Elephas maximus indicus: one gene and its partners. The protein of the gene in region 2 purifies or fractionates together with the protein of the main gene of each other region. This does not show direct contact. Links are inferred from orthologs where the notes say so. Each region holds a gene or a part of one and is shown on either strand. Other genes may lie near its edges. The genes, in order: EIF4A2, EIF4G1, EIF3F and NCBP1.

Region 1 (7,631 bases), about 2.5 Mb from region 2:
ACCTGAATACTTGTATTTAATTTTTGAAAAATCTCATAGATTTGATCCTTAAACCCTCGGCTCAACATTTCATCCGCTTCATCCAAAACAAACATTTTGATCCATTTTGGAGCTGTCAAAAACAATGTTATACTATCATTTCTGGATTCTCCTGGATACAATTTGACTTCCCTATTCAATTTATCAATAAACCAAAAACCAAACCCAGTGCCGTCGAGTTGATTCCGACGCATAGCAACCCTATAGGACAGGGTAAAACTGCCCTATAGAGTTTCCAAGCAGCACCTGGTGGATTCGAACTGCGACCCTTGGGTTAGCAGCCGCAGCACTTAACCACTCCGCCACCAGGGTTTCCAATTTATCAATAGCAAACTCCAATTATGCTCTAAGAAAAGGTCAATACTTACAAAGATACCGCCTGTTTAACATATCAAATACTCTCCCTGGAGTACCAACAACAATATGTGGTGCTTCAGCCTGCAGTTTTTGCATTTCATTCCGAACATTAGTTCCACCAATGCAGGCATGACAAGTTGCTCCCATATAGTCTCCAAGTGCCAGAATTACCTTTTGGATCTAAAAACCAGAAGCCTCAATTATTATCCTACTGAATTACAGGCTCTATCGAAAAACTTCCAAAACAAGGCCAAATATGTGGTCTGCAAACAGCTTTTACGCATGCACAGCACATTAACTACTTCCCAAGCTTAAAATGCAGACTTTACGAACTGCTTCAAGATAAAATTTCCTTAAAATGTCTCACGTTTGTACCTTGTCAAACTTGGGGTTCTGTCTCCCTTCAAGTATCAGCTAAGTGTACCAAAGATATTCCCTATTCTTCAATGTGTAGGAAAGTGTAAACAATGAAACAAGCTGTTAACACAACTAAGGAAAACTGTTAACGGTTTTTAAATTTCCCGTGGTGTATACTGTGGCTTGTGATCTTGACCTTAATAAAGCTTATTTTTATTTAGGAAGATTTACCTCAAGGCCAATACAATTGAGCTTTGAAAACAGCATACAAGAGATGCATCACAATCTACCAAGACAGTCGAATGTTAACATGACACTGCAGTTTTCATGTTGCACAACTGCATTCAAACTTAAAAACGGGCATTTATCTAGTGAACTCTGAAGAAATTTCTGGTTTCTCAGTACGTTGAGAAACAATCATCTGCATACCCAGTTCCTGTTTAACTACCTATAAAACTCCCTGCATGCATGGTCAGTTAAAAGGAAGGCTCTGATAGGACCAATTTACACTAAGTTAAATCCTTCAGTTGTGAAACCTGAAACCTATGCAACACGCAAGCAGTTTTTGAACTACACTATCAATACCTGTTGAGCCAGTTCTCTGGTGGGGGCCAATACTAGTGCTTGGGTCTCCTTGAACTCAATCTCCAACTGTTGCAGGATGGAAATAGCAAATGTGGCTGTCTTGCCAGTACCTGACTGAGCTTGAGCAATCACATCATACCCTAAAAAAAGTAGGATACATATTTACCGATCCCACATCAAACCGTCACTTCTAGTTCACACCATGTATTCCTTTTGGAACACGAATTATGCCCAAATAATTAAGTGATCAGCAATGAGTATTCTCTTCATTTCAGGTCAGTCCCGAAAGATGATTGCCATCATTTCACTTTAAGGAATACAAATAGGTGCTAGTCCCCCAGAGGTTATTTTATTTCCCTTTCACGGTCCAGGCCTGCAGCACAATGAATTCGTTTTCTAAGGCCAACGGGTTTTCTTTTACCTTTAATACAAGGAATAATAGCTCTCTGCTGAATAGCTGAAGGCTTCTCAAAACCATAAGCATAGATACCCCGCAGAAGAGACTCCTTTAAATTCATATCATCAAAGTTATCCACAATTTCATTCCAGTTGCTCTGTTTTAAAAAAAAAAAAAAACAGTAAATAGGAGCACCAGTCTCATCTGCCCAGAGTTTCAAAACCCACACACATTTCTTACCTCAATGACACCATCGGGGTCCATTCCCTCAGGGCCGCCATGTTCTCTGCCGACGAGAATTGTGCAGTTAGACACCATCCCTTTACCAAGCCACCTTCTTCTAACCCTTTCGGATAAAATAGAGCCCAGGCAGCGCGGTAGCTAAGCGCTCGGCTGCTAACCAAAAGGTCGGTAGTTTGAAACCACCAGGCGCTCCCTGGAAACCCTATGGGGCAGTTCTACTGTCCTAGAGGATCGCTATGACTCGGAACAAACCCGACGGCAACGGGTTAGGGTTTGGCACGTGTGCGTTTCCGCCCAGAGCCAATGAAGACCCGCGTGCGAGCACACATCGTCCTGTGCCCCTTCCCCGCGGGCTGAGGGCCGGGCGCCGGGAACGGCGGCCCCGTTCCCAGGCCCAGCGCCCGCCGCTCCCGTCTCGGCGGCGCCGCTTCTCGCGAGAGCTCCGGAGCTCCGCCCCCCGCACTGCGCAAGCCGGCCGATTGACGCGGCCCCGCCAGGCTCTGCCAACGGCTCGCCGGGACCCCCGTCCGCTCGGTCCCGCCGGCCCGGACCGCGACCACCCTCCCCCACCCCACCCCACCCCTGGGCCTCTATCCGCGCGTAAACCTCCGGGACCCCGCCACCCCGTACCGAACGCACACTGCGCCACCGCTAAATGCCTGCCGTGCTCCGCCTGGGACCGGCGGCGACCGCCAGCTCCTCGAGAAAAGACGCCCTTTAACCAGTCCTCTTAATACCCCTGCCCGGTCTCCCCGCAATCTGGGGCACTACCCACCATGGAAGTTTCTCGAACGGCACGAGGGTGCTGCTGTACCCCACAAGGAAACGCCAATGAATCCGGAGTGTCTTGCCTCCGTGCCACCTACTACCACCATCTCTGGCGCCACACGACCTTCACCACAAAATACTACCACCGAGAAAGCGCCATACCTGTTGTAGTCCGCGGAGCCACCAGACATGTCCAAAAACCCACTCAGCGCCCGACTGAAAAGACAGCGGGCCCGCGCCACCCGTTTTTTATATGCTCGCAGCCGGAACCCGTTTCCTGCGGAGGAATTTCCGCTTGCTCTTCGCTCGGCCCCCCCAGTTTTAACCCTGAGGTCGTTCCCTCACATAAAACCCGGTGCAAGTTGATGGGAAAATCTAAATGTGATAATTCCTCGATATTTCAGGAGCGCCGGAAGTCCCCGGAGCCCGGGGACCGGCTGGGACTCTTTGCTTTGCGGCGGAAGAATATTGCAGCAAGAGGCCGCCGAGAACCGCCTTCTCCGCCCGCCCTGCTCCTACGGGGTTTCCGCGTCCCTGACGCAGAGGCGGGCCCTGGGAGCGAGCGGGCGGACGGGAGGCGGAAGCGCGTTGCTCCCCGGGCGGCCCGGCCTCCCGAAGCCTGTGGGGCCCGACTCTCCGACCGCTGCCCGCCCTCGGATGCAGAGTGCGCGACGTCCGCATGCTGCACCTAGGGGAGTCGGGCGTTTCCGCCTGTCCGCACCGCCATTGAACTTGACGCTAAAGAGCCGCCTTGTCCTTAGCCCAAACGTTATAACGTCCGTTCAGGTCATGAACTTGTGAAGGTCCTGCTAGGGAAAAAGTCGGCCACCCAGCACGTCCCAGAAAACCCGTTTCATCGGTACATTTTACAGGACGAGGGGGAAAAAATGTATAGTGTCCTTGGAAAGCGTCCCTGGAATAGCCAAGTCTGTTCTCAGGTTGCTTCTGGTTTCCTCTTGCTCTCTTAAAATTAATGCTAATAATTTTAACCTAACCTAACAGGTTTACTTCATAGTTGCAATTAGCATTATAAACTTTTGCAAATGGATAAAAGTTAAGGAAGAGAATTTTTCCTTATAACACAGGAACCTAAATAGATGGACGCTTCCGGCGTGTACAGCTCCAGACCGCTTTGGAACTGGATAGGTTTTGGTTCCCGTTTATATTGGTCGTTTTTTTCCAAAAGTCTTAAATTTTAATTGCCTGGATATAATAAACGTTGATTTATTGAAATTGAGAGCAATACAACCTTTGCTGCTTAAGCAACCCGCAGGATTCTTTAAGCACCAAAGATTTTCCACGGTAGCCCCAACCCAGCCCCAGTGATAAAAATTAAAAAAACAATATAGTCATTTAACTTTAAGGTACAGTTCTTCTACCCACACTGCAGGGTATCATCACTAATACCCAGGAAGACATTTTCTAAAGTCAGGAGAGCAGCCTGAAGTCTGACTACTGGAAAAAATCTTACCGATTTCCTACATTATAGAAGAAGTTTGACTATAGTAGTACTTTTTTTTTTTTTTTTAAGAGAACTATTTGATAATTTGGAAACACTAGTGGTTAAGATTTCAGCCGCTTACCAAAAGGTGAGCAGTTCGAATCCACCAAGTGCTTCTTGGAAACCTTATGGAGCTCTTTTACTCTGTCCTATGGAGTCGCTTTGAGTGGGGATCAAGTTGATGGCAACAGCCTAATGGGGGTAAATTTGTTCGTTCTTATTGTGGCAGAAACTGTGACAAAAGTTAAAATACCAAGATGACAAAGTTGACCTGGCCCTCAGTTTAGTAACACTGCTCCTCATCCGCCCCCCTGCAATGTTCAAATCCAGATGTGAGGTGATGCCAGACGTTTCTGAACATGGTGGTCAGAGATTCTTATTGTCTCATCCAAAGTCTACTGAAAAAAAAATTGGGATCTAAGAAACTGAAGAAAATGTTTAAAAAAAAAAAACAGTGGCCAGCGCTCACTTGAATCTTAGGGCAAAATCAATCAGCAATTTATACTTAATTGTTGAGTGTTTTCATTAGATTTAGCACTATTGCTAGATGCTTTGGGGGATTTCCAAAGGTCTCTTAAAAGGTAGGAATCAAGGGCTAAATGTGGTGCTAATGGTTAAGCACTTGACAAGTAGCTGAAAGGTTTGAAGCTCCTTGAATACAGACCTGGCGACCTACTTCTGATAGGTCACAGCCTTGAAAATCCTATGGAGTTCTAATCTGCACAGTTGGGGTCTCCATGACTTGGAATCGACTTGATGGCAACTAACAACAAACCTAGGGTGGAGTCCCTGGGTGGTACAAATGCTTCGGCTGTTAACCAAAGGTCAGAGGCTCGAGTCTATCCAAAAGTGCCTCAGAAGACAGGCCTAGCAATCTGCTTCTGAAAAATCAGCCATTGAAAACCCTGTGGAGCGCAGTTCTAGTCTGACACACATAGGGTCACCATGAGTTGGAGTCAACTCCATGGAAGCTGGTATGGTATGGCAAACCCTAGGGTTCAGGTGACAAGTGCTGAAGGAGTTTCAAGGCAAGAAAGCTTCATGATAGAGTCAATACCAGGCTCACATTGCCTGCAACCCTATAATATATTTCTAAAAATGTTGTGCTTACCACATCTGCATTTTATCCTCCCTGAAAGTTGAACTTTTGCACTTACCTCAAAGCCAACTACAAATGCTTCTGTGCCAACCTAGAGTGTGTGAGATCATTTATAGAACAAATGATGCTAAAAACCAAAGATTCTTTCCCAATGTGAGCCACCTGGTTTAGTTTTGCTCTTCAGTAGCCTCCATAGACAATTCTAACCCCATCTAGCATTTGTATGCCTTTGGTCCATTCAGCAATTATAAGCCAATATTCACCAGAGGGCCAAGGAATTAGTACAGATGTGTTGCTAATACAGGAAAAAACAATAACAAAATCTTAAAAGAGGTAAGAAGGAGAGTCAAGAATAAGACGGGGCTGCTGCGTCCCAGGCAGCTTGTTGAGGTTGGTTTATACAGGCAGGATCAGTTTCAAAATACAAAACGGCACGCACCCATGCAGGTACAGAACGCTTTAGAATGAGTAAACATTTTCTAAGGCCCGGGTTCAATTCCCCGCACAGGAGGAACTGAGTCATTTTTGTTCATTAGTATGTCAGCTCTCCACCCACCGTGCATAAAGCAGTTAATGAGCTGACTGAGTATCATCTGGAATGCCAGGATGGAGGGCAGGACCTGTTTTAGCCGATTCTGGCTAACTGGTGGCTGTCTCTTTAAAGAAGTTCGAGGAGGAAAAGAAAGAACTCTAGGAAATGGGCTGGGTGAGGGGCTGTCTTGAGGTTAAGAAAAATGGCTGTATGGTTCTAGTCATGTCTTAGCATCGCTAGGGTTGGTGTCACCCAGTGTGGTGACTCATGGTGTCACCCCCTCCCCCAGGGACCTCCTCCTGTACTAGACCATACAGAAGCCTTAGTAATGTCTTTTTACCAAAGTCACTTGTAAATCTTAATTCCTGTATTTCTCTCCTTTTTCTCCTTTCATTACTACTTCATTCTCAAAAAAGTTATTGACATAGGTTCACAAATACTAATTACCACTATAAACCAAAAACAAATCCAGTGCCATAGAGTTGACTCCAACTCACAGCAACCTTACGGGACAGGGTAGAACTCCCCCATAGGGTTTCTAAGGAGCCACTGGTGGATTTGAACTGCTGACCGTTTGGTTAGTAGCCAAGCTCTTTAACCACTAAGCCACAGGGCCCCTAATTACTGCAATATTGCAGCTAAAACACCAGAAAATTTGACAAATTCAGTGACTATAAAAACACCGGCAGCAAGTGAGTGGCATCTGGAGTCTTAAAAGCTAACAAGCGGCCATCTAAGCTGCATCAATTGGTCCCAACACACCTGGAGCAAAGGAGAACGAAGAACACCAAAGACACAAGGAAAATAAGAACCCAAGAGACAGAAAGGGCCACATAAATGAGAGGCTCCAGCAGCCTGAGACCAGAAGAATTAGGTGGTGCCTGACTACCACCAATGACTGGCCTGACAGGGAACACAACAGAGAATCCTTGATGGAGCAAGAGAAAAGTGGGATGCAGAGCTCAAATTCTAGTAAAAAGACCAGACTTAATGGTCTGACTGAGACTGGAGGGACCCCAGAGAACATGGCCCCCGGACTCTCTGTTAGCCCCAAACTAAAACTATTCCCAAAGCCAACTCTTCAGATGAAGACTAGATAAAATGATTCTGGCGAGGAGCATGCTTCTTAGCTCAAGTAGACAAATGAGACTATGTGGGCAGCTCCTGTCCCTAGCTGAGATGAGAAGGCAGAGGGGGACAGGAGCTGGTTAAATGGACACCAGAAATCCAGGGTGAAGAGGAGGAGTGTGCTGTACATTGTAGGGAGAGCACTAGGGTCACATAACAATGTGTGCATAAGTTTTTGTATGAGAAACTGACTTGAATTGTAAATTTGCACTTAAAGCACAATTTTAAAAAAAGAGAGAAAAACGAAACAAACAAAAAAACAACCACCGGCAGCAACAAAAACAGCAGCGTGTGTTTATAGCGCTTGACGAACTTTGTAGGGCTTGACGAAACCACGTGATCTGAAGTGTCATTGTAATTGCATAATAATGACAGCTCAACTGGAGCGCATTACCCAACAAAACAAAACAAACCCATTGCCATTGAGTCAATTCCGACTAATAGCAACCTTACAGAACACAGTAGAACTCCCCTGTAGTGTTTCCAAGGAGCTGCTGATGGATTTGAACTACCAAACTTTTGGTTAACAGCCAAGCTCTTAACTGTACCACCAGGGCTTTAGAGCGCATTACAAGGTTCAAAAAGTAAATTAGCTTAGAGTTTTAGCCTTATGGGTATATTGATA
Region 2 (7,308 bases):
GAGATGAGGCCATATGTGTATGAATGGGAAGACAGTTAAGGTGTGAAGAAGAGAAGATGAAACTGGAATGTTTTAAAAAGTGTCACATGTTTATCTGCATGTACTCTGGATATTGAATGTTTCTCCTACTTGGTGTTGTAAAGCAGACCTAAATGTATGATGGAAGTGAACATTGGGAATTATACCTCCAGAGAGGCTCAGAGCAAGGGAATAATCTTCTGTTGATTAAATTTTTCCCATCGCCGTCAAGTCGATTCCAACTTGCATTTGAAGTATGGTGTTGGTGAAGAATATTGAATATACCATGGGCTGCCAAAAGAACAAATAAATTTGTCTTGGAAGAAATAACAGCCAAAATGCTCCTTAGAAGCAAGGATGGCAAGACTTAGTCTCACATACTTTGAATATGTTTTTAGGAAGGATCAGTCCCTGGAGAAGGACATCATGCTTGGATAAAGTAGAGAGTCAGAGAAAAAGAGGAAGACCCTCAATGAGATGGATTGACACAGTGGCTGCAAAAATGGGCTCAAGCATAGCAACAATTGTGAGGATGGCGCAGGACTGGGCAGTGTTTCCTTCTGTTGTACAGAACGGACTCGACGGCACCTAACAACAACATCAACAGTTAAATTTTATCAGAGGCTAGAAAAGATGAAGCCAAGATGGCTTTTGGAGACCTGACCAGATCAGATGGATACCTGCAGCAGACCTGAATGACTGGTACCTGAGTAACCTCACCCAGAGGCCTCTTTGCCCTACGGAAGTACTAATTGTTGATGACTGTTTTGGACTGACAAAATAATTGGAAGGGGGAGGTTACTCTCCAAGTATGAAAACTATGGCTAGAAAAGTCAGAAGGTGGCCTGCAGTGCAACTGATCACTTTTACACGGCCTTTCTCACCATAGAAACCCTGGTGGTGCAGTAGTTAAGAGCTACAGCTGGTAACCAAAATGTTGGCAGTTTGAATGCACCAGGCACTCCTTGGAAACCCTATGGGGCAGTTCTACTTTGTCCTCTAGGGTTGCTATGAGTCAGAATTGATTCTTCGGCAATGAGTTTGGTTTTGATTTCTCACCATGGTCTTGTAACTCCCACCAAATGACTGGGTGGGACTGTGCAAATAAGGTGCTTGTGGCCCACCAAGAGACCTGGACATCTTGCTAATAGTACAAATAAGTATATGGCACCCTTGTGGGGATGGGACCATGCAAATACAGTATATAGGAACCCAACAAGGGGATTGGTCAGTTTTGCCATCCTGCTAGCCTTAAAATGAGCAATCCCAGAGCACAGAGGGGGACCTGACTACCATCAAAAAGAAGAGAGGGGAGTGGAACACATCCTTTGGACCTGGGATCTCTGCGCTGAGACCCTCCTAGACCCAGAGACAGCGAAAGAGAACCGTAACACTGGAGATGGCAAGATGGTGAGAAGCAGTGGCAGAGAAATGGTGGCAGCAGAGGCAGCAGAACCAGGAAAGCTGACAGGGGACTACTTGGTGACCTACCTGGCCCATAGAGCAAGAAAGCTAAGTGCCTTCCAGCAAGAGGCTTGGTGGGGTGGGTTGCCTCTGGGCATTTATTGGTGGAGCTAAAGAGCTTTGTAACACTTGCTTGAGCGGGGCAGGGTCTAGGCTAAGGGGCCAAGGGCCAGAAAGAGGCCTGCCTGTGGGCATAGCTGAGAAGAGGTTGTCCTGATCCAAAGAAGTATATCCTGAATTACTGTTTCCTGAACTACCTGTTACTTCCCTAACAAACGCCATTACTTTGAGTATGGTCTGTGAGTTCTGTGTGGCCATTGCAATGAATTATCCAACCCAGCAGAGAAGTAGGGAGTGCTATGGGAGGGACGTTTGTCATCAGAATTGGTAAAAAGGTTGGACGGTGGAGGTGTGTTTGACCTCTGCCTCATAGGAATCAGCCTTGGGCTATTTTTGATTCTCCTTCCCCCTTGTGAAGTCAGACGCCTCTGCCATGCCATTTTTACAGATAATTTTCTTCCAAATTGGTTACTGTGTTTTAGAGTAAGAAATTTTCATAGTGGTTCTTAACCTTTCATATTCAACTGTTTGTTCAGCAACAAATATCAACAGAACCTTATTCTGCATTGAACCTTATTCTAGTTTGGAGAATGCAAAGATAGAAAAAAAGATCCAATCTTTAAAAAGCTTACACAATGGAAAAGAAGACGGATAATTACATGAAAACAATTGTGATATATTGTGATCAATACCGTACTGGGGGCGAACAAGATACCCTGGGATCATTGGGATAGGGCCTAAGTGCTTGGATGAGTGTGGTGAAATTTCTTGGAGGAAGCTGAGACTTGAAAAAAGAAGAGTCTGTCCAAGGGGAAAGAGGGTAGGAAAATATAGGTAAGCAATTAGCAAAAGCAGGAAGGAGGAAAAGCTGTATGTGTTCAGAAACCATGGATAGCTTGGTTTGGCTAAGTCTACAGGGACCAGGGAAGAGTATGGTAGCAGATACAGCTGGAGACACAGGTGTAGACCAGGTTTAGAAGAGCTTTGTCATGCCAAGAAATTGACAGTATCTCAACAGGGACCATTGTATGTCAGCAGGAAAGTGACATGATCAGCTATGTGGGTAAGAAAGCTCACCCTGGAAGCCCAGAGACTAGACAAGGGAAATGGACACCTGAATTAGGACAGTAGAAGTGGGGAGGTGGGTAGGGGTAAAAGGAAGTTTTGTTCAAAAAAGATAAAATCAATAAGACTTAGTGTTTGATTAAACGTAGTGTGTCGATGGGAAGGAGTGTAGGATGAAGCCCAGATTTTCAGGTTGGGCATTAAATTATGGCACTATTCATTGGAAAGCCGTATATGAGCATATTTGTTTGGGGTTGAGATGGGGGAGTCTGTTCACGAATTCAGGGAGAAGTGACAAATTCCTATCTGAACACACGCAATTTGAGATGCCAGTGGGACAATTAGGCAAGGACATCTTTTAGGTAGTACCTCGTTGTCACTGGAGTTTGAGCGTGGTTTCTGAGTTAGGAAGTCACTCTCATGAAGGCAGTAATTATTTGTCAGTGCATGGATGAGTCTCCTTAGGGACAAAGTAGAGAAATGAGAGAGCAGAGTCCTACATGACAACAATCACAGAGCGCAAATGAGCGTCGCGGAGAACACCAGATCCGTGTGTTTATTCTCCTCCAGGTGTCTCTTTTGGTCTTCGGAGCTGCTGCCCTACTTCTCTTAAAAGCAATGACTATTGGGTATCTTTGTGCCTAAGTATGCCCACCCTACAGCTGTACTTTCTTGATGGGGGTGATAATGGGGGCTGTTTTATGACACCCTCACCTAGCTACATCAAGTCCTGCAATATATATCAGGCTCTGCTTCCGAAAGGTCACAGTCTTGAAAACCCCGTGGAGTACAGTTCTACTCTGCACACATGAGGTTGCCATGAGTTGGTATTGATTCGATGGCAACTTTTGTTTTTATTTTGAGGTAACATATGTGCCGTGTAGATAGACCCTTTGCTAAATGTCTAGGCATTGTTTCAAACACTTTCACATGTACTAACTAATCCTCAAAATCCAATAGTGTAGATGTCATCATTGAGAGAAAGCATGGTGGTTAAAAGCTCAGACTTGATCCACACCACCTGGTTTCAAACCTCCCCATTTTACATCTTGCCCAGAGTCCTCAGGTAGTAAGCAGGTAGGTAGGTGACAGCCACGTGGTAAGTAGTGAAATCAGGATTAAAAACCAGTAAGTGAGTTGCACTCTAGGGCACTCCCGTCTGGCTTCCAAGATCTTTCTGGTGCCAGGCAGGGGTTTTGGGATTGACTCTCTGGTCATTATTCTCAGCAGTGGGTTTTTTTTGGGTTCCTTGATTAACTTTTGCCCCTCCCAGGAAGGGGTTGATCTTTGTATAAAACAAATCTACTCTTGCTAGTCTCCTAGTTAGAATGTTTCAGTCCTTTCAGGGTAACATTCAATCTCCTTTGTTAACGAGCCTTTCAAGCATCTAATCTACATTACCTCCAAAGACTGTATAATTCGCATTTCTTTGCATATTGCACCATGATTTACTTAGCTAGGACTCCTTAATTTCCATATTCTCCGCACTTCGCCTTGCAGTTAGTAGGCACCCAGTAAAGTCTCAATGGAGTAAAGGACCACCAAACAGAGACGCACAAGGCAGCTCGTCTGGAGTTCCACAGTCCGGGAGGGGACATGGGGGCGGGCTGTGGCTGTCACGTGACGGGGCGGGACAGAGCCATGTGCTCCGCGGCGCCCTGCGGCCGGGGCGAGGCTCCTCCCCCTGCGCCGGTCACGTGGGGCGCCGGCTGCGCCTGCGGAGAAGCGGTGGCCACCGAGCGGGATCTGTGCGGGGAGCCGGAAATGGTTGTGGACTACGTCTGTGCGGCTGCGTGGGGCTCGGCCGCGCGGACTGAAGGAGACTGAAGGTAAAGCCGCCATGTCCGGGCCCGACCCGGCCCCCCCACCCCCTCCCCCCGCATCCGCCGCCATCCGGGCCGGGACCGGCCGCCCTGCGCCGCCGCCCCGCCGCCCCGGCCCCGCGGCCCCAGCCCGGGCCCCGGCCCTCCAAGGCGCGATCCCCGGCCCACGTGTGCCCGGCGCGGCCCGGCCTGGCTGCTGGGCGGGGGCGAGGGGGCGCGGGGCCGGAATGTGCGCCCCCGCGGGCTGGGAGGGCGCCGGGCTCGCTGGCCGGGACGTGCCACCGCGGCCGGCCCGGGGAGGCCCCTCGGCCCGCCGGCACCGCGGCTTCTCGGCCCGGCGCCCCCTCCCCCTTCGCCGCCGGGCCGCCGGGAAGTGACACGTTGTTCTTTGGCACTGGCCGGCGCTGCGCAGGGAGGGCGCAGGCAGGGCGGCGGCGGCGGGCAGGGAGGAGCCCCCGGCCGCGCCCGCCCTCCGGGCCGACCCTCGCTTGCCTGAAACCGGCTCTTCCTCGGCCGCCGCTCGCCAGGCCTTTTAGGGCCCGGCGCCCGCCCTTCCTGGCCTCGGCTCCTGGGCGGCGGCGGGCGTCGCCTCCGGCCTGCGCGGTGCCCCCGCGGCCGCTCGCGGCAGGCGTGCCTTGTGTGTCCCCGGGCCGGGCCCCGAACCCGGTGTCCCCGGGTGGGGGGTGGGGACGCCACGGCCGAAGCGGCTAGCTCCGTTTGTGAGCCGGGAGCCTGGTGCCAGCGAGACCTGGAATTTCCGGTCTGGTTGGTCTGGGGCCCCGCGGAGCCGGGTTGATACCCCTCACCTCCCAACCCCAGGCCCTCGGATGCCCAGAACCTGTAGGCCGCACCGTGGACTTATTCTTAACCGAGGGGGTGAGTGAGAGCGCCGTTTCTGCAGGTCAGGGGGGTGGATGGCGGTGATGCGGGCTTGACAGCATGTTAGTGGGTACACACAGCCTGGGTCGTTAATGCTTCTTCACTCCCTTGGTGCCTCTGCGGCTCCGATTTGGACCCATCCCTTGCTTAACCCTTCCCCCACTCCACTTGCCTTAAACTTGGGTCTCTTCCTCTTTCCAAGCTCCACTCTTTCCCAACAGGTGTTGGGGGGACCCTGATGTGGCACCAAATGAAATGAACAAAGCGCCACAGCCCACAGGCCCCCCGCCCGCCCCATCCCCTGGACTCCCACAGGTAATTAGGGAGGGAGGCTGAGGAATTAGCAAGGACCAGAAGGGTGTAGGGAAGGCCAGGCAGCCGGTCAGGAACAGGTTCCAACCTCTGGATTTTCCCACCCCCATCTGCGTCAGGGCAAAGTGCAACGGCCTGTTGCCAAATTGAGACAGGGCCCCTGGGCTGTTCCCAGGGGCTGTCCTGGGGAGGGGGATGTGGACTGCTGAGGCCTTGCCACAGACTTACCCCTCTTACTTCACCAGCTTGGGTTTCTGCCCCACCCGGGTTTCCCCACTTGCTGAACTCTGGTCTCCCCCCTTCAGCCAGCGTTTCCCCCGGGGCAGACAGCGCCGGTGGTGTTCAGTACGCCACAAGTGACACAAATGAACACGCCTTCTCAGCCCCGCCAGGTGAGGGGCCGTGGGGAGGGGAGCAGGGGGCCTGGGTGGGGAGCTGTGGCAGTCTCGGGCCAGTTCGGGTCTCAGATGGAGACTACGGAGGCCATGTACCTGGTTCTCAGCTCCTGACACTTGCTCTGTGTTCTTCCGTGCAGCCCTGCACTTTGCGCTGTTGATTCCTTAGGTGGCTGGCCCCTTGGGGAGCGTGCAGCCGGTGGGGGTGGCGTTCCCGGGGACCTGGTGCTGCTGAGGACTGGAGGCAGTGCTTTGGGCCCTGGTGCCAACTCCTGTTTTCCTGTTTCTTTACCGGGAGGTGGACATTCCTCTTCCCTGCTTTCTCCTTGGAGCGGCCAGAGAATCACTCCAGGTGGTTCTTGCCCTCCTCTGTTCCCCAAGTTCTTCTTCGCTAAGTGGGAAGATTTTTGCTTTACTTCTTCCACATTTTCTGTTCTCATCACCTTGGGGATAATTCTCTTCTTTCCTGTCCCCATGTGCTCTCAGGGAGGATTCAGGTCTCTGCAGGTAATTCTTCTTTCCTAATCCTGGACCTCCTCCTGGCCTCACCCCACCGTACACCCAGTTAGGGGTTAGATCCAGGGACTGGGGCTCTTCATGGTGGGGACTTGGTTGTCGTCCAGGCTGTCACTGTAAGGCTGACCCATAATGCATGTCAGTGGCTAAGTTTTGCAGCGTGCGTGCATATCTGTCTGGTGATTGGGAGACTTGCATGTTAGGGGTTACCTCCTCAAGCACCTTAGGGTGGAGCGGTGCATGCTGGGGAGTGTTTGCCTGAAAGGGCCTTCCTTCAGCGTGTGGCATCTGGGTGTTAGGAAGCTTCTGCAGAGCACTAGTCTGGTGGAGGTTACGTGAGTGTGCATGGCAGTGAGAGGGTAAACACGTACAGAGTGCAAAGCCTGTATCTGAACACAGAGGACATGTGTGAGTACAGGGGGCCAAGTGGGTCTTGGAGAGTTGGATCGCTGTACTCTGGCGCCCCCAGGGCTCCTCTCCAGCCTGCAGTCCACTTCCTCCCCTTCCCTATGCCAACGGCCTTCCTCCCTCCTGACAGCACTTCTACACTAGCCGGGCCCAGCCCCCGAGCAGTGCCGCCTCCCGAGTGCCCAGCGCAGCCCCTGCCCGCCCTGGCCCAGCTGCCCATGTCTACCCTGCTGGATCCCAAGTCATGATGATCCCCTCCCAGATCTCCTACCCAGCTTCCCAGGGGGCCTACTACATCCCTGGACAGGTGAGGCTGGAGGCTTGGGAGCTGGAAGCCATAGGGCCTTGTCCTCCCAGTCCTCGCCCCC
Region 3 (7,806 bases), on a different chromosome or scaffold from region 2:
CACCAGAACAAAAGAAGGAGGAAGACTCAAGATCCATGAAATAGGAATCCAAACAAGGAAAAAACAGTCCTAGAAGGCAGCTCGTCTAGAGAGCTGAGAGCTCTGAAGTCTCTGACAGGGAATGGATTTCTCCAGAAAGAATATCTCCAAGGGGGAAAAAAAGAAAAGGATTCATAGATCAACTATTATGATTGACCCGAAAAATTGTACTAGAGCTATTGGAAGACTGTGGGAAAAACTGGCAATAAGTGCCAATGAAGTGGGAAAATATTGCTTGAACATCCAGATGGTAGAAAAGTTAATGTTTACGGGAACTGATGAAACCCCTGTGAGCTATAGCACGCCTTGCGATTCTTTTCTGATTGTTCTCTCTCAGCACTGTATAGGCTTAAGATTAACCTGCGTGTTCTCTCTCAACATGAAAAACAAGTGATAGGATCTGGGAACCGAGGAGTCAGAAGACAGTGATGTTAGAAGACCAAACTTCAATGACTCCAGAAGGGACCCTAAGAATACCTGGAAAAGATCATCACGTCTGGAAGGTGATTTGCAAGACCACCTCAAAGGGGAATTAAAAATTCTCCAGATTCCTTGGACTTAGCTTTTCTTTCCCTATAAAACCGCCCAGCTGTCTCTTTCGAGACAGACAGAATTTAGGAGTAAACTATCCCCTCTGTTTCTTGGATACCGGTATTCAGTAAAGCCCTCTTGCTGTTGACCTCCCTCCTGTCTCAGTATTGGCTTTGCAGCAGGCCGCTCGAATCTGTGATTTATGGTAACACCAACAAAACTAGACAAATGGAACTAAAATAAGGAATTACTAACTCTGAGAAAAGCAAAACGAAAGGAAACATAATAGTAAATGACAATACTCAGGTGTGAATAATGTTTACATAGGAATAATGATGTAACCACTGAGTATCAATCTAACTAAAATGGTAACATAACCATATTGAAAGGATGGTGATGGAAGAGTTAAATGCTTGTGGGCTGGAATAGGCAGTCCCTAGATAACACCTAAAACTGGTTAATCAAAAGGTAGCAGTATACATACACTGTTTAGAAATGGAAAGATGTAAGAAAAGAAATCTAAAGTAGATTTCTGAGAAGTCACCCTCAGGGAAGAGGGACTAGTGGGTAGTGGGAAAGGTTGGAGCAGGGAATTACTCTCTGTGTCACCTTTATTGGATCTCTTTCCACAGCATTCAAATATATTCTACTCCCTCCCATGTTCAAACAAAGGAAACCTTCTCTTGACCCTGCATTTCTCATGTCACCTCATTCCCTCTCTACTGCCATGCTTTGGCAAGATTTGTCTATACGTGTTACCTCTACTTCCTTAGCCGCATTCTTTCTTTGTTGAACTTTTATTTTATCAAACATGCTTAGAGTTTTAAAAGTCAATTAGCATTAAAAAGCATGGGGAAGCTAAGCATGACCACCATTTCTAAGTCAAAATCTTCCAAAAAGCCTGAAATGACCTCACTGCCACCCCAATCCCGTCAGAAAAAAAATCAAGCAAACTTTCTCAGGAGGAAAGCTTCCCCAAATTAGGCCCCAACAGCTATTGTCGAAAGAGCCCTGGTGGCGAAGTGGTTAAGCATTTGGCTGCTAACCTAAAGGTAGGGAGTTTGAACCCACCAACTGCTCCGCAGGAGAAAGATGTAGTAGCCTGCCTCTGTGAAGGTTATAGTCTTGGAAACCCTTTGGGGCAGTTCTGCACTGTAGAACTGACTATAAGGTCACTATAAGTCAGAATCGACTGGACGGCAATAGGTTTGTTTGTTTTTCTCGCTTGCTACAGACTTGAGATAGCCTGGGGCTCTCCCTTGTTGTCCTCCCTTAATCTGAGCTGTAGCTCCAGCTCCTTTCACTTCAGTTAGTGATCTAGAGGATGGGATAAGTTTATCAAGCTACAGGCCGCAGTCTTATCATGAGGCAGGCAGTATGACCCTGGTCTTTTCAGGCAGAACCATTAAGCGTGTACCCAAGCAACCAGAAACCTAGAGCAATCCCTGTACAACACATTCTATATAAAAGGGGGATAGTCCATTGTTCTCTCTCCCCACTCCTTCCACCCTTTACCTGAAAAATTTGAGGCTCCCAAGCTTTCAGTTCACAGGGAGCAGCCTTCCTGGATCCCTCACTCAGCCATTGGAAAGCCAGTAGCCTGTGTCTACACACTCCCTGATCCTTGCCAATTGTCTCCTGTGGAAAGACAATGCCAATGATCTCCTCCTGCCCCTGGGCTACATGGCTGCTGGAAAGAAATCACGAAAGTCGGCCAGCTGGTCCTTGTACAACTTGAGCTCTCCAGGCTCAGCAGCCCTCCCATAATCGTCAATGCCTTGTATGGCTTTTAATGGCTCACCCTCAGCCCGTCTTCCAAACACTGCCCATTCCTCCAAGCCTAAACCCTGCTCTGGCATTGCCATTCTCAATAGATCACCTTGCTTCCACTTCCCTGGGAGGGGGGGGATGGCATTTGAGAGGAGCCCCCCACTACTTCTCTGCTCTCCCCAGCTCAAAATTTATCTGATTCTTCATCATCTCCTTCCCCCTCCAGAGAGAAAGGTCCTATGGTCATTGATATAAAGGCAAAAGTGAGTTCTTGAAGGTGAAGTATCCACATCCAAGTCAAATGAACTCGTTGACAGGCGGTCCCACGGGTGTGAGTGCTCAGTTTGGGGCAGTAACACCTCATTTGGGCTGGTTGTCTCCTCTGGCCTTGACCCATGAGATGATGTCAGGGAACCAGCCCTGGCCTAGGTAGATCCCCTCCCCCCCCACCCCCCCACCCCCCCACCCCCCGCCACTAGGCACCATAAGAGAGGCCAACAGGCCAGGGCAGCCTCTCCTGCATGCCCCTCATCCTTTGTAAAGCCATCCCACTCATCAAGGCTTCTCAATCCAGGCCCTCCTTCCTCCCTTATTTCATTAGATATTGCCGCTGACTCTTATATATTCAATCTTTCTCTTTCTTTCAGATCTTTACCTGCAATTTAAAGTACACTTAAAACTCTTCTGGCCTCAATTGTCCCCTCTCAACCCTGCTGTTCCTTAAATGTCTCTTTTTCTTCCCAGGCAACTTCCTTGAAAAGATAGCCAGCACACACACCCTTCACCTCAAACTCACCATTCTTTCACACCTGAATTCTGGTTTATATGTCCCCCTCCCACCCAATTCCACTGACCAGTTTTCTACTGGGGTTGCTAAAGACATCAGGTTATCAAAAACAAAAGCCACTTTTCAGTCCACCTCTGGTGGGCTATTAACCTGTGTTTTGGGGAATTCAGAGAAGGAATGTGTGTTGACACAGAGCATGACAGAAGCAGGTATAACAATTCTAATTACGGATGGTAACCTCAAGGGGAAAGCGAGTCTTGGGCATAAAAGTCAGAGGTAGGAAATCCAACCTCATCCACCCACCTTGCCAGCTGGATTAGCTGGGACTTAACCTAACTTAGGAGTTTACAGGTTTCGGTATAGACAGATGTTCCAAACCAAACCGGTTAACATCGAGTCGATTCCGACTCACAGCGACCCTACAGGACCAAGCAGAACTGCCCCATAGGATTTCCAAGAATGGGCTGGTGGATTCAAGCTGCTGACTTTTTGGTTAGCAGCCGAGCTATCATCCCCATTATACCAGAAAGGAACTGAGGCTCTGAAAAAAAAAAAAAATTGAAGCTTGTCCAAAGTCACACAGAAAGCTAGGACCAGGGTTCCTCCCCATAGTTATAGTAATGATAATAAAACCCCAAACCAAATCTGTAGCCATCGAGTCAACTCTGACTCATAGTGACCCTACAGGACAAAGTAGACATGCCTGTCATGGATTGAATTATGACCCCCCAAAAATGTGTGTATCAACTTGGTTAGGCCATGATTCCCAGTATTGTGTGGTTGTCCTCCACTTTGTGATTGTAATTTTATGTTGAGAGGATTAGGGTGGGATTGTAATACCAGCCTTAATCAGGTCACCTCCCTGATCCAAGGTAAAGGGAGTTTCCCTGGGGTGTGGCCCCTTTTATCTCTCAAGAGATAAAAAGAAAGGGAAGCAAGCAGAGAGCTGGGGACCTCATATTACCAAGAAAGCAGCAACAGGAGCAGGGCACATCCTTTGGACATGGGGTCCCTGTGCCTGAGAAGCTCCTTGACCAGGAGAAGATTGATGACAAGAAATCTTCCTCTGGAGCCGACAGAGTGAGAAAGCTGACCCCTAAGGGCACCTAACAACAACTGCATTAGTTATTTATCTTCCTTTTTGAGTTTTTTTTTCCATGCTAGAATGTAAGCTATTCAAGGATCTTTGTCCACTGATAAATCCAAAGCCCCTAAAAGAGCGTTTGAAACATAGTAGGCACTCAAATTGTTGAAAGAATGAACCACCCTATTGACACTTTATGATCTGGTCAAGAACAAAGCCCTATTAATGGAACTTTGACATCCATTTTCCCATTTAAGAATGAAAACACGAACTGCGACCTTGCGCTGCTCTCTGGCTCCACCTGGCGGCACATGGGCAAACTGAGTGGAGTTATTTTTAATCTCCCAGCGCGGTCTTAAATTTACCCGGAACTATTTACCGTGGTTCTTATGACGTGCTCATCGGACCGAAAGCAGTCACACAAACTCCGGAAGAAATTACAAACAGAGCAGGAAATTTTCGTGCCCCGAGAAGCACCATCAGTAACCAATAGGTGGAAAGATACAGTTCACGTGGTGCATATTTAGCCTATCAAAGTCGTAAAATTCACTAAGTCACTCCTTTCCGCTCTTGGCTTCTTCTCTTTCGACAAGATGGCCACACCGCCTTCACCAACGAGTGCTCCTCCCGCCACTCCATCCCCAGCACCGGCTACGGAGTCGGCTCCAGCCCCAGCCCCAGCCCCAAGTCCAGCCGCTGCTCCGGCTCCGGCTCCGGCTCCCGCTTCCGCACCGGTCCCGGCTCCTGCTTCTGCCCCCGCCTCATCCTCAGACCCGGCGTCAGCAGCGGCTACAACCTCGGCCTCGGCGCAGAGCTCGGCCTCAGTGCAAGCCCCAGCGCAGACCTCGGCGCCGCCGCCGCCGCCTGGTCCAGCTCTCCCAGGGCCCTTCCCCGGCGGCCGCGTGGTCCGGCTACACCCGGTCATTTTAGCCTCCATCGTGGACAGCTATGAGCGACGCAATGAGGGCGCTGCCCGAGTAATCGGGACCCTGCTGGGTGAGTGGTGAGATAATACCGACGTTCTTTTTTCCTACCGCCCACCTCCCATGTATCGCTCCCCCTTCTCATAACCCTTTCGTCTCTGGCGTCCTGCTGCCCCCTCCTCCCACCCCCACTTTTTGCTTGTTTCTGCATCTCACATATAATAGATAGTTATTATTTACTGATAAATATTGGGTACCAAGTGATTTACATTTTATTTCCAACACCATTTCACGTCAAGTATGATAACCTCCATTCTACCAAAAGTGAGCTTATATGCTCATATGCCGACTGGCAAGTGATTAAGTTGGAACTAGGACTCTTGATTCCCTAAGCACAGTGACCAAGTTTCCCTCCTTTACCACTGACTGGAGCCCTGGTGACGCAGTGGTTAAACGTTCGTTAAACCAAAAGATCAGCAGTTCGAATCCACCAGCCGCTCCTTGGAAACCCAGTGGGCAATTCTCTGTTCTGTAGGGTCGTTATAAATCGGAACCGACTTAATAACAACGGCTTTTTTTTTTTTTAATCCACTGTCTAAATGTCTCTATTTTCCAAATTTTTACAAAGAAGTTTCTAACCAGCTGGCCAAGGAGTGGAGGCATCTATAAAAAGATACTCTTCCTAACAAGTAAACCAGTTTGGCTGGAGCCTGTTGAAGGTTTTATAGTATTCTGTCTTCCTAAACCCTGAGTCTGCCTCAACACCATCTCTGATATGATAAACCGTTTTCCCAATGCTGTCTCTGATTCTCTATTTGGATAAAAACCATTGTATTAATCTGTTTATGATTGACTCTGACCTTCAAATCAAAGAATAGTCTTTTCCCTGCCCGTGTTCCAAGTTTGGAGAATAGATGTTTTATGTTAAAGTCATTTTAAAACTTAAAATCACTGAAGATGTATTGTTAATAATAAATGTCTTTCTTTGGGGACTACTGGTCCCACGAGATTGATTTTCACTCCATTTTATCGCAGGCTTTAGACATCTTTGCGGACCCACTCCAGTCCCGTGCATCATTTCTCTTTCTTACTCTTGAAAATGTAGTAGTCCTTACACCTTAGAAGACAATACATTGTCTTCTAAGGTGTGAGGACAAGATTTGTATGCAGACACCACCAAATGTTAGCCATGTGCCTTGAGGCAAATTACCCAAAGTTAGTTCTTTTGAGGGCTACTTTAGACTTAGTGTTTGTGAGAACTAAGTTATTACAGAAAGCATCTAACTCAGTTCTGGTATACATTAGATGCAAAACAGCTTTACCAAATCAGGCCTGAACTCATTGCCAGCGAGTCCATTCCAACTCATAGCAACCCTGTAGAATAGTAGAACTGCCCCATAGAGTTTCCAAGGCTGTGGAAGCAGACTGCCACATTTTTCTCCCGTAGGGTGGGTGGTGGGTTCAAACCACCCACTGCACCACCAAAGCACACACACACAAGTTCTCCTTTTTATCTTTGTGGGTGTAGCACTTGGTATTTACAGAAACTAAACAATTGGCTTCCAAACATAGCTATGGCTTTTCTCAAACCAAGCCTTTACGTTTATATTCTCCTTGTCAGAAATGCCATCCCTGCTGTGCCTCAGTTGTTTTTTAAAGTTGTACCCATCTGCCAGGTTCCCAGGGCAAATGTCCAGTACCAGTCCTCCACCTCATACCACATCCTCAGCCCATTCTTAACCTCTCTAACCATGAGCACATTCTTTGACTGTGCCCTGCTTTGAGGTCCTGTAACAAATGATTTTTGCATCACTGATTTGGTAGTCAACAAACACTGACTTACTCCTTCAGCTACACTGTCAAGGTTTCTGAACTTTGTGGAACTATTTAACCAAAGTTTATGCTTAAAAAAAAAAATTGCCGTCAAGTTGATTCTGACTCATAGCAACCCTATAGGGCAGAGTAGAACTGCCCCACAGAGTTTCTAAGGCTGAAATCTTTGTGGAAGCAGACTGCCACATGTTTCTTCCATGGAGTAGCTGGTGGATTCGAACCTTTTGGTTAGCAGCCAAGTGCTTTCACTGTTGCATCACCAGGGCTTCCTGGTTTATGCTTAGTGCCCCAAATATCACAGCAATCCTCTGGAAGGTCCCCTTCCAGATGGAGATCGCGGTATAGCACAAAGTGTTATAGGGGCAGTGCTTATACAAGGACAAAGCATAGATCCTGCCTGTAAGAAACTTGGAATTTTCCCAGGTACACGTTCATTCAAGAAACATATTTCATTTGTTTAAGTGAAGTTACGAGTGCCTTTTGAGTACTGGAAACTGTTAGATACTTAGAATTCAAAGTTTGAGAAAATGAGCTGTACTCTAACCTTAAACTTAAGATGGACAAATAGTCTTATATACAAATAATAAGAATGTAACGTGATGAGTGATCTGATAGAAGGGTGTTCGAAGTGCTGTGGAAGTACAGGAGACTATCTTGGAAGGTTGGGAAAGGATTTACAGAAAAGATGGATTTTGAGCTGGGCATTCCAGCAAATATAAGAAGTGTGAAACACTAGAGTGTTAAGAGCCATCACACAAATAGCTTTATGCACACCTGTGTTTATTGCAGTATTATTTGCAATAGATGGAATAATGTTCCCAAAAAGATGGAAACAACCT
Region 4 (6,921 bases), on a different chromosome or scaffold from region 2:
AGTCACCCTACCTTTCTAGGCTCATCTCAGGCAACACTCCCCCTCACATACTCTGCTCGGCCACACTGGACCTTTGCCTAGTTCCACAAGCAACCCTTGCTTTCTCCTGGTTCAGGATCTTCACACACGCCTTTCCTACCACCCCAAAATGATCTCTTTCAGTTACCACCTAATTTAGTTTCATTTATTTATACACTTTAACTATTATTTGTGGACATTCTCCTGCGTGTCTAGCTATGTGCTGGAGATGAAGTTCTGAATGAAAAAGTCAAAGTCTCTACTCACTTGGACTTTATAGTTTAGAAAGGGGCAAAGGACAATAAATAAGTATACAAATAACCATAAGACCTCCAAGACTATGGCCCTAAGACACCCCTCTGACTTGGAACTGCAGCCATTCCTGGAAACCACCTTCCAGCGAAGGAATAGACAGGCCTAAAAAATAAACAATAACACCCAAAAAGAATACACTCCATAGAATAAACAATTATACAAGACCAACAGGGCAACATATGCCCCAAAAGTAAAGATGAAAGGGCAGGAAGGGGTAGGAAAACCAGATGAAAGGAAACGGGGAACCCAGGGCGGAAATGGGGAGAGCGTTGACACTGCGAGGATTGCAACCAATGTGTGGAACACTGTGTATGCGATTTGTTGAATGGGAAAATACTTTTCTCTGTAAACTTTCACCTAAAACAATAAAACATTTTAAAAAATAAACAAACGTGAATACCAGATAGTGGTAAGTGCCACTCCTTCTCAGTTTCCTTTGCTGGATCCTCCTAGTCATCCCAACCTTTAACTGTTAAACTTGCATATCTGTGCCCACTCCCCAGGTGATCTCACCTAGTCCCAAAGTCTTAACAACTACATTTGCTTCAAAATAATGGTGGAGGTTGGGGGGAAGAGCACATTAACATAGGTGAAACCAGACTGGCCTTGAGTTGATAACTGCTGAAGTTGGATGATGAGTACATGAGGGTTCATTATATAATTTTCTCTACTTCTGTAAATACATCCACTAAGAAAGAAAAATAAGAGAAACAACCAAAAATTTATGTTTAGTATACCACACATCGGAGCCCTAGTGGCGTACTGATGAAGAGCTTGGCTACTAACCAAAAGTTCTGCAGTTTGAAATCCACCAGTCGCTCCAAGGAAACCCTATTGGGCAGTTCTACTCTGTCCCATAAGGTCTCTATGAGTCAGAACTAACTTGATGGCAAGAGTTGTATCTGTTTGTTTTTTGGCTTACATATTGAATGACCCCAAATTTCTATCTCTAGCCTGTACCTCTCTCTTGAATTCCAAATTCACAGATTCAACCGTCTACTGGATAGCTTTAGCTAGATGTCTAACACGTTTTTCAAATGGAACTGTTCAAAACTGAACTCTTTATGTACTCCTCCCAACCCAAACCTGCTCTTCCCAGTCTTCCTCACCTCAGTGAAAGACAATCCTATTCTTCCTGTTACTCAGGCAAAAAACCTTTGGGATGATCCTTGAGTCTTAATTCTCTCACACTATCATCCTATTCAGAAATCATTCTGTTCAGAAAATCCTATCAGCGTTGCTTTTGAAATATAAACAGATCAGACCATTTCTCATCACCTTCATTACCACCCTAGTTCAAGTCACCATCATTTCTTGCCTGAATTATTCCAACAGCCTAATGCCCTCCTACTGTAGCAGCCAGTGTGATACCTATAAAAAATAAGTAAGATCACCCTCCAAGGCTTCTCGGTTTTTGCAGATAAAGTCCAAAGACTTTGCCATACTTCTCCCTCCCACAACCTCTCTGATCTTATTTTCTACTACTCTCCCCTTGCTTCCTATTCAGACTTCACTGGTCTTTTTGCCCATGCCTAAATGGGTCATGGGAACCCTGGTGGTGTAGTGGTTAAGTGCTATGGCTGCTTACCAAAAGGTCAGTGGTTCAAATCCACCAGGTGCTCCTTGGAAACCCTGTGGGGCAGTTCTACTCTGTCCTATAGGGTCGCTATGAGTTGGAATCGACTCGATGGCAAGGGGTATGGTACTGTACGGTAAATGGGTCATTAGAATTTTAGCTCCAAGAGAGCTGAGGTTTTCCTTTGTTCACCACTATATTCTCAGCATCTAGAACAGTCCCTGGTACATAAACCAAACCAAATAGATGTCATCGAGTTGACTCCAACACATGGCAACCCTATGAGTGTCAGAGTAGAACTATGCTCCATACGGTTTTAAATAGCTGATTTTTCAGAATGAGATCACCAGGCCTTTCTTCCAAGGCACATCTGGGTGGACTCAAACCTCCAATCTTTCAGTTAGTAGCCAAGCTCATTTACTGTTTGTACCACCCTGTGGCCATGTCTGGCACACACCCCCCCCCAAAAAAATACAGTGCCCTCGAGTGGATTCTGACTCATAGTGACCCTATAGGACAGAGTAGAACTGCCCCATAGAGTTTCCAAGGAGCACCTGGCAGATTGAACTGCCGACCCTTTGGTTAGCAGCCGTAGCACTTAACCACTACGCCACCAGGGTTTCCGTCTGCCACACAGTAAGTGCTAAATACAGTATTTGTTGAATGACTGAATGAATGAAATAAAACAGCAACGCATGATCTCGTGGCAGGGACAGCTAACTTATATTAGGTAGCCAGGGAAGATCTTACTAAGAGCCTGATGTTTGAGCTCAGACCTAAATAACAAGAAGTTAGCCACACAAAGATTTAGGAGCAGAGACCTTCTGGCAAAAGAAAAAGTTGAGTGTAAATTTCTAAAGTGGGGCCAAGCTTGACTTATTGAAGGAACGGGAATAAAGCCAGGGTGGTTGCCGCACAGTGATGAGAAGGTAGAAGAGTGTACGCCATGGTTTGCAATTCGCAGTGGAAAGTCACTGGAGAGTTTTATACAAGGAAATAGCATGGTCTGATTTACATTTTAAGAATATCTTTCCGGCTGTTCTGGGGGGAAAGGACTGCAGGCAAGGAAAGACCCACGGAGGCCAGTCGGGTTAGACATTCATCAGGGCAAGAGATGACGCTTGCAGCAAATGAAGAAAAAATGGCAGCAGTGGAGAAATGTGGACCAATTCTGGATTTGTTCTGGAAGTAGAGCCAGCAGGAGATACGGGTAGATTGTTATGCAGAAGTGAAGGAAAGAGAATTCTAGAATGACTCCAGCCTACATTTTTGGATTAAGTAAATGGATGGTGCCATTTTCTGAAATGGGTAAGCCTGAAGGAGGAATAGGTTAGGCCAGGAGGATGAAACAAGACTTCTATTTTCGATTGTGAAATTTCAGATGGCCATGGACGAGGCAGTCAGAGAAACCAGTGTGGTGCTCGGAGAGACGTCAGGGATGGAGATGTTCATATACACATACACAGTCGCCAATAGCTAGTGAAAACGATACTGAGAACGATCAACTTGTTCGTCCTTAAACCAGCCACTCGTCGAGGTGAGAGGTAAGATGACAGCCAGAGGGTGAGCCCCGGAACCGGAGGCTCGCGTCAGGGCCGCTCCTCCCATCGTAGGGGGCGACACGTGCGGCTCCGCTCCCATCCCGGCCCCACCCCGCACGGTGGGCCTGGCCTAATCTGTCCGCCCAGCGTTCCCGAGGCACAAGACGGGAAGTGGGGGTAAAATGAGCACGTACCCGCCAGTCGGATCTATTCTTGGGTCTTTCTTCACTGAACTGTGTCCGCCTAGCAATGGTCACTCACTGCACTTGGAACCTACAACCCCGGTTGTGTGTTTACGTAGGGACGAACGCTCGGACGTCACCTCGCTCCGGAAGTCTTGGTGGCCGTTAGCGAAAGGGCCGCCGGGAAAACCATTGAGAGGACCCGGGGGCGGGGCTGAAGCTGAGGCTGAGACTAGAGAGTCTGTCCCAGCCGCCCGCCGCCTACATGCCTGGCTCGCGGCCGGCGGGCTCTGACTGGCTGAAGCGGAGGCGGTTTGTGCGTGGCCCCGGAAGGACATAGAGCGACTGGCGGGAGGAGGAAGCGGCCGGGAGGCGGAGGAAGGCTGAGGGGGGTGGTTGCGTGCAGACCACACGTCGGCTCCTGGTTTGCCTCTAGACGCCGTCTCTCCCGGATCCGAGCCCGCCGAACCCTCTCGGCCGACCCTCCTTGGGTTTTCGGGAGCTGGAGCGAGCGACTGCGCCTGCGCGCCGGTGGGTCCGCGCTCCTCGCCGCTGTCCTCGCGCCGGCCGGCTGCTGGACGGTTCCTGCCGTGCCTCCTGCCCGGCGTCTCGGTTCTGAAGTGCACCGGCGTGCGGCATGTCGCGGCGGCGGCACAGCGACGAAAACGATGGTGAGTGCCTAGAGCCTGGCCGCCAGGGCGCGCTCCGGTGGGAGCCGAGGTTTGCCTTCCTTGGCTTTCGAGTCTCGAGGGAAGGAACGGCAAGCCCTTCTCTCCCGGGAGCGTTCGCGGAGCCACGGAGGATGGCGGGGCGGGGGTGTGGCTGGGCGGATTCGGGAAAGCTTCGTGCCAGCCGCAGCGCCTTTGGTCGTCGACCGATGGTGGGGAATGAGGCTTGGTGAACCCCTGGTCTATAGGGACTCTTCAGAATTTGGCCCTCGACATCATGTCTGTGCTGCCGTCTCAGAGAGCGGTACCCACTGGTACCAGGCGCTCGTTTTGATCCTCAAAGCTTTATCTGAAAATAGCTTTTTCAAGACTTTACTGAAGAAAAGGAACAAAGCAGTGACTGAGAGATCGGGTGAATTGCAGTCTGAGCTCTACTCCTCTACTGTACATCCGTTGATTTGCCTTCTTTCGAGCTGGAGAGAAGAGATTTTGTGTCTTCACCCAAGAGGTTACTCACTAATAAGCAGATGTATAGTATTGCATTAGATTTTAAGCTGACTATAAACATATTTCCATGGCATGCCGGAGAACTAGCAGGAGAGCTCTTAGAGATTTAGAGTTGGGGTTCCCGTCTTCGTTTGGGTGGTTATACTTATGGGGGTCACGTTGTGGCCGTTGTAAAAACTTAAGAATTTTACTAGTAAAAAAAAACAGCAAAAGTTGCTTACATTCACATAAGCATTATGAAAATCAGTCAAGAACACACATCCACAGACAGAAAGACATGAAAGATTAAGTCTGTTATTGATATTTGAGTGCATTATTTGCTGAAGAGGGTGTAGAGTAATGGTTGAGAGGCCAGGCTTTGGAATTGGGGGTATAGGTTACAAGCTAGACCCCACGATTTACTTTGGGGTTTTGCCCAAGTTATATAACCTTTTTTCACTCTTAATCTGTAAAATATGAACAACGCTGCTTACCTGTTCTGGTTTTTCTGAGGGTTAAATGAGATAATTCATGAAACAAATGGCTCGTAATGATTTTTTTTTTTTCTTTTTACTTTATCTGTTAAGGCTTAAGTGGTGATAAGCAGTGGCAGATGCCCACAACGTAAGGAAAAAATAAAGAACAAAAATTTTTAATTCAGTACATTTTCTTCTTGAATATTGGGGCAGTTAGAGGTGAGGACAGAATCACAAATCTGAAAATACCAGATTGCTACTAAGGTATGGCTTGAGAGGATTTTCTGGCCCAGCCTCCTCAGACACCCAAGGGTACAGAGACTTAGTGTAATTAACATGGAGACACAGCAAGAAGTGCCCAGACACCAGCTAAAGCAAGTTCAGGGCTCTCTCTACTACACAGGTGTTATTGTACTGCATGCTTTGATTTTAACACATGGAGTCTTCTTGTGTAACATGCATAAACTAATCTCAACAACTCAGTGCCGTCGAGTCTATTACGACTCATAGCAACCCTATAGGACAGAATAGAACTGCCCCATAGAGTTTCCAAGGAACATACATACAGGACACAAAAACTACAATTTTTGTGTACTTAGAATTTGACTAATCCAAAAGTATTATGTTTGAAGTCATCGCTTAGGGTTTAGAGAACATGAGTCTTTTGTTCTTCCCATTTTCTTTGTTCTTACGTGTTTCTCTACCATTCCTCTCCCTCTCCCTTCTAAGGCACCCCTAAAAGGGAGGGAAAATGAGTGTATAATTCAGTGACATTGTTTTTAACATTGGCTGGCACTAAATGACTGTACGTTTGGACCTTGCTGCAAGAACCTCAAAGTAAGTAAGTACAGACAAAAAGAAGGAAAACAAGGAATTAAGCAAAATTCACTATGGCAGATGATTTAGTAATGGAGGGACAATTTATAGTTCCTCCTTATAGTACATCAAATTGGGAACTTTGTAAATTGCTACAGTATGGGTAATGATTATTAGAGTTTACCTTAGACAGTGACCTGAATCAAATATTTTGAATGCTTTTTTAATTAAGCTTCTACTAATACTTTTAAATGACAAATATTAAAAGCTTCAATATTATAGAAGGATATTTTGGTGGCGTAGTGGTTAAGTGGTATGGCTGCTAACCAAAAGGTCAGCAGTTTGAATCCATCAGGTGCTCCTTAGGAACTCTATGGAGCAGTTCTACTCTGTCCTATAAGGTCGCTATGAGTCGGAATTGACTTGATGCAACGGGATTTTAAAAATAAACTAGGGATTGCTAAAGTCAGAATTAGATGGATATAGCTGAGCATTTCTGGATTATTATCAGCTCTCATCACCCACTGATAGCCCTGATTTTCCGTGTGTCCGGCTGGGTATAATCATTTATTCAATAAATATTTAACAGTACTGGGCACTGTTCTAAATACTGGCAGTACCTCAGTAGATAACATAATGGTAGAGCCTCCATTCTTGTATAGGGCTACAGACAGAAACGATTAGGTAAAATATCATGGAGCATATGGTGATGAATGCTTTGAAGAAAAGTAGAATTGAGTATAGGGGATAGAGACTGTGCTGTGGGGGAGAAATTACTACATTGAAACCCTCAGGAGCCTGAACTCAAAGAGACTGCCTTGTTTTCTAGGTCTCGCAAGTTTT

Evidence for each region.
Region 1: the proteins of EIF4G1 (region 2) and EIF4A2 purify together in Homo sapiens (affinity purification with mass spectrometry; 6 studies listed by BioGRID and IntAct, with this or other methods). This does not show direct contact. The link is inferred for Elephas maximus indicus from reciprocal best matches to the Homo sapiens genes EIF4G1 and EIF4A2.
Region 3: the proteins of EIF4G1 (region 2) and EIF3F purify together in Homo sapiens (affinity purification with mass spectrometry; 3 studies listed by BioGRID, with this or other methods). This does not show direct contact. The link is inferred for Elephas maximus indicus from reciprocal best matches to the Homo sapiens genes EIF4G1 and EIF3F.
Region 4: the proteins of EIF4G1 (region 2) and NCBP1 purify together in Homo sapiens (affinity purification with western blotting; 3 studies listed by BioGRID and IntAct, with this or other methods). This does not show direct contact. The link is inferred for Elephas maximus indicus from reciprocal best matches to the Homo sapiens genes EIF4G1 and NCBP1.

What each region holds. Positions count from the first base shown.
Region 1 is NC_064819.1:28,258,279-28,265,909, forward strand, and holds the start of EIF4A2 (eukaryotic initiation factor 4A-II), read right to left. Parts: upstream 3,016-7,631; 5' UTR 2,938-3,015; coding exon 2,909-2,937; intron 2,022-2,908; coding exon 1,976-2,021; intron 1,893-1,975; coding exon 1,760-1,892; intron 1,649-1,759; exon of another isoform or gene 1,580-1,648; intron 1,479-1,579; coding exon 1,339-1,478; intron 577-1,338; coding exon 408-576; intron 113-407; coding exon 3-112; intron 1-2. UniProt on the Homo sapiens protein: ATP-dependent RNA helicase which is a subunit of the eIF4F complex involved in cap recognition and is required for mRNA binding to ribosome.
Region 2 is NC_064819.1:30,774,627-30,781,934, reverse strand, and holds the start of EIF4G1 (eukaryotic translation initiation factor 4 gamma 1), read left to right. Parts: upstream 1-4,305; 5' UTR 4,306-4,436; intron 4,437-4,722; exon of another isoform or gene 4,723-5,306; intron 5,307-5,530; 5' UTR 5,531-5,564; coding exon 5,565-5,624; intron 5,625-5,926; coding exon 5,927-6,013; intron 6,014-7,070; coding exon 7,071-7,247; intron 7,248-7,308.
Region 3 is NC_064825.1:63,220,222-63,228,027, forward strand, and holds the start of EIF3F (eukaryotic translation initiation factor 3 subunit F), read left to right. Parts: upstream 1-4,786; 5' UTR 4,787-4,804; coding exon 4,805-5,207; intron 5,208-7,806. UniProt on the Homo sapiens protein: Component of the eukaryotic translation initiation factor 3 (eIF-3) complex, which is required for several steps in the initiation of protein synthesis.
Region 4 is NC_064827.1:47,538,676-47,545,596, forward strand, and holds the start of NCBP1 (nuclear cap-binding protein subunit 1), read left to right. Parts: upstream 1-3,901; 5' UTR 3,902-4,269; coding exon 4,270-4,303; intron 4,304-6,921. UniProt on the Homo sapiens protein: Component of the cap-binding complex (CBC), which binds cotranscriptionally to the 5'-cap of pre-mRNAs and is involved in various processes such as pre-mRNA splicing, translation regulation, nonsense-mediated mRNA decay, RNA-mediated gene silencing (RNAi) by microRNAs (miRNAs) and mRNA export.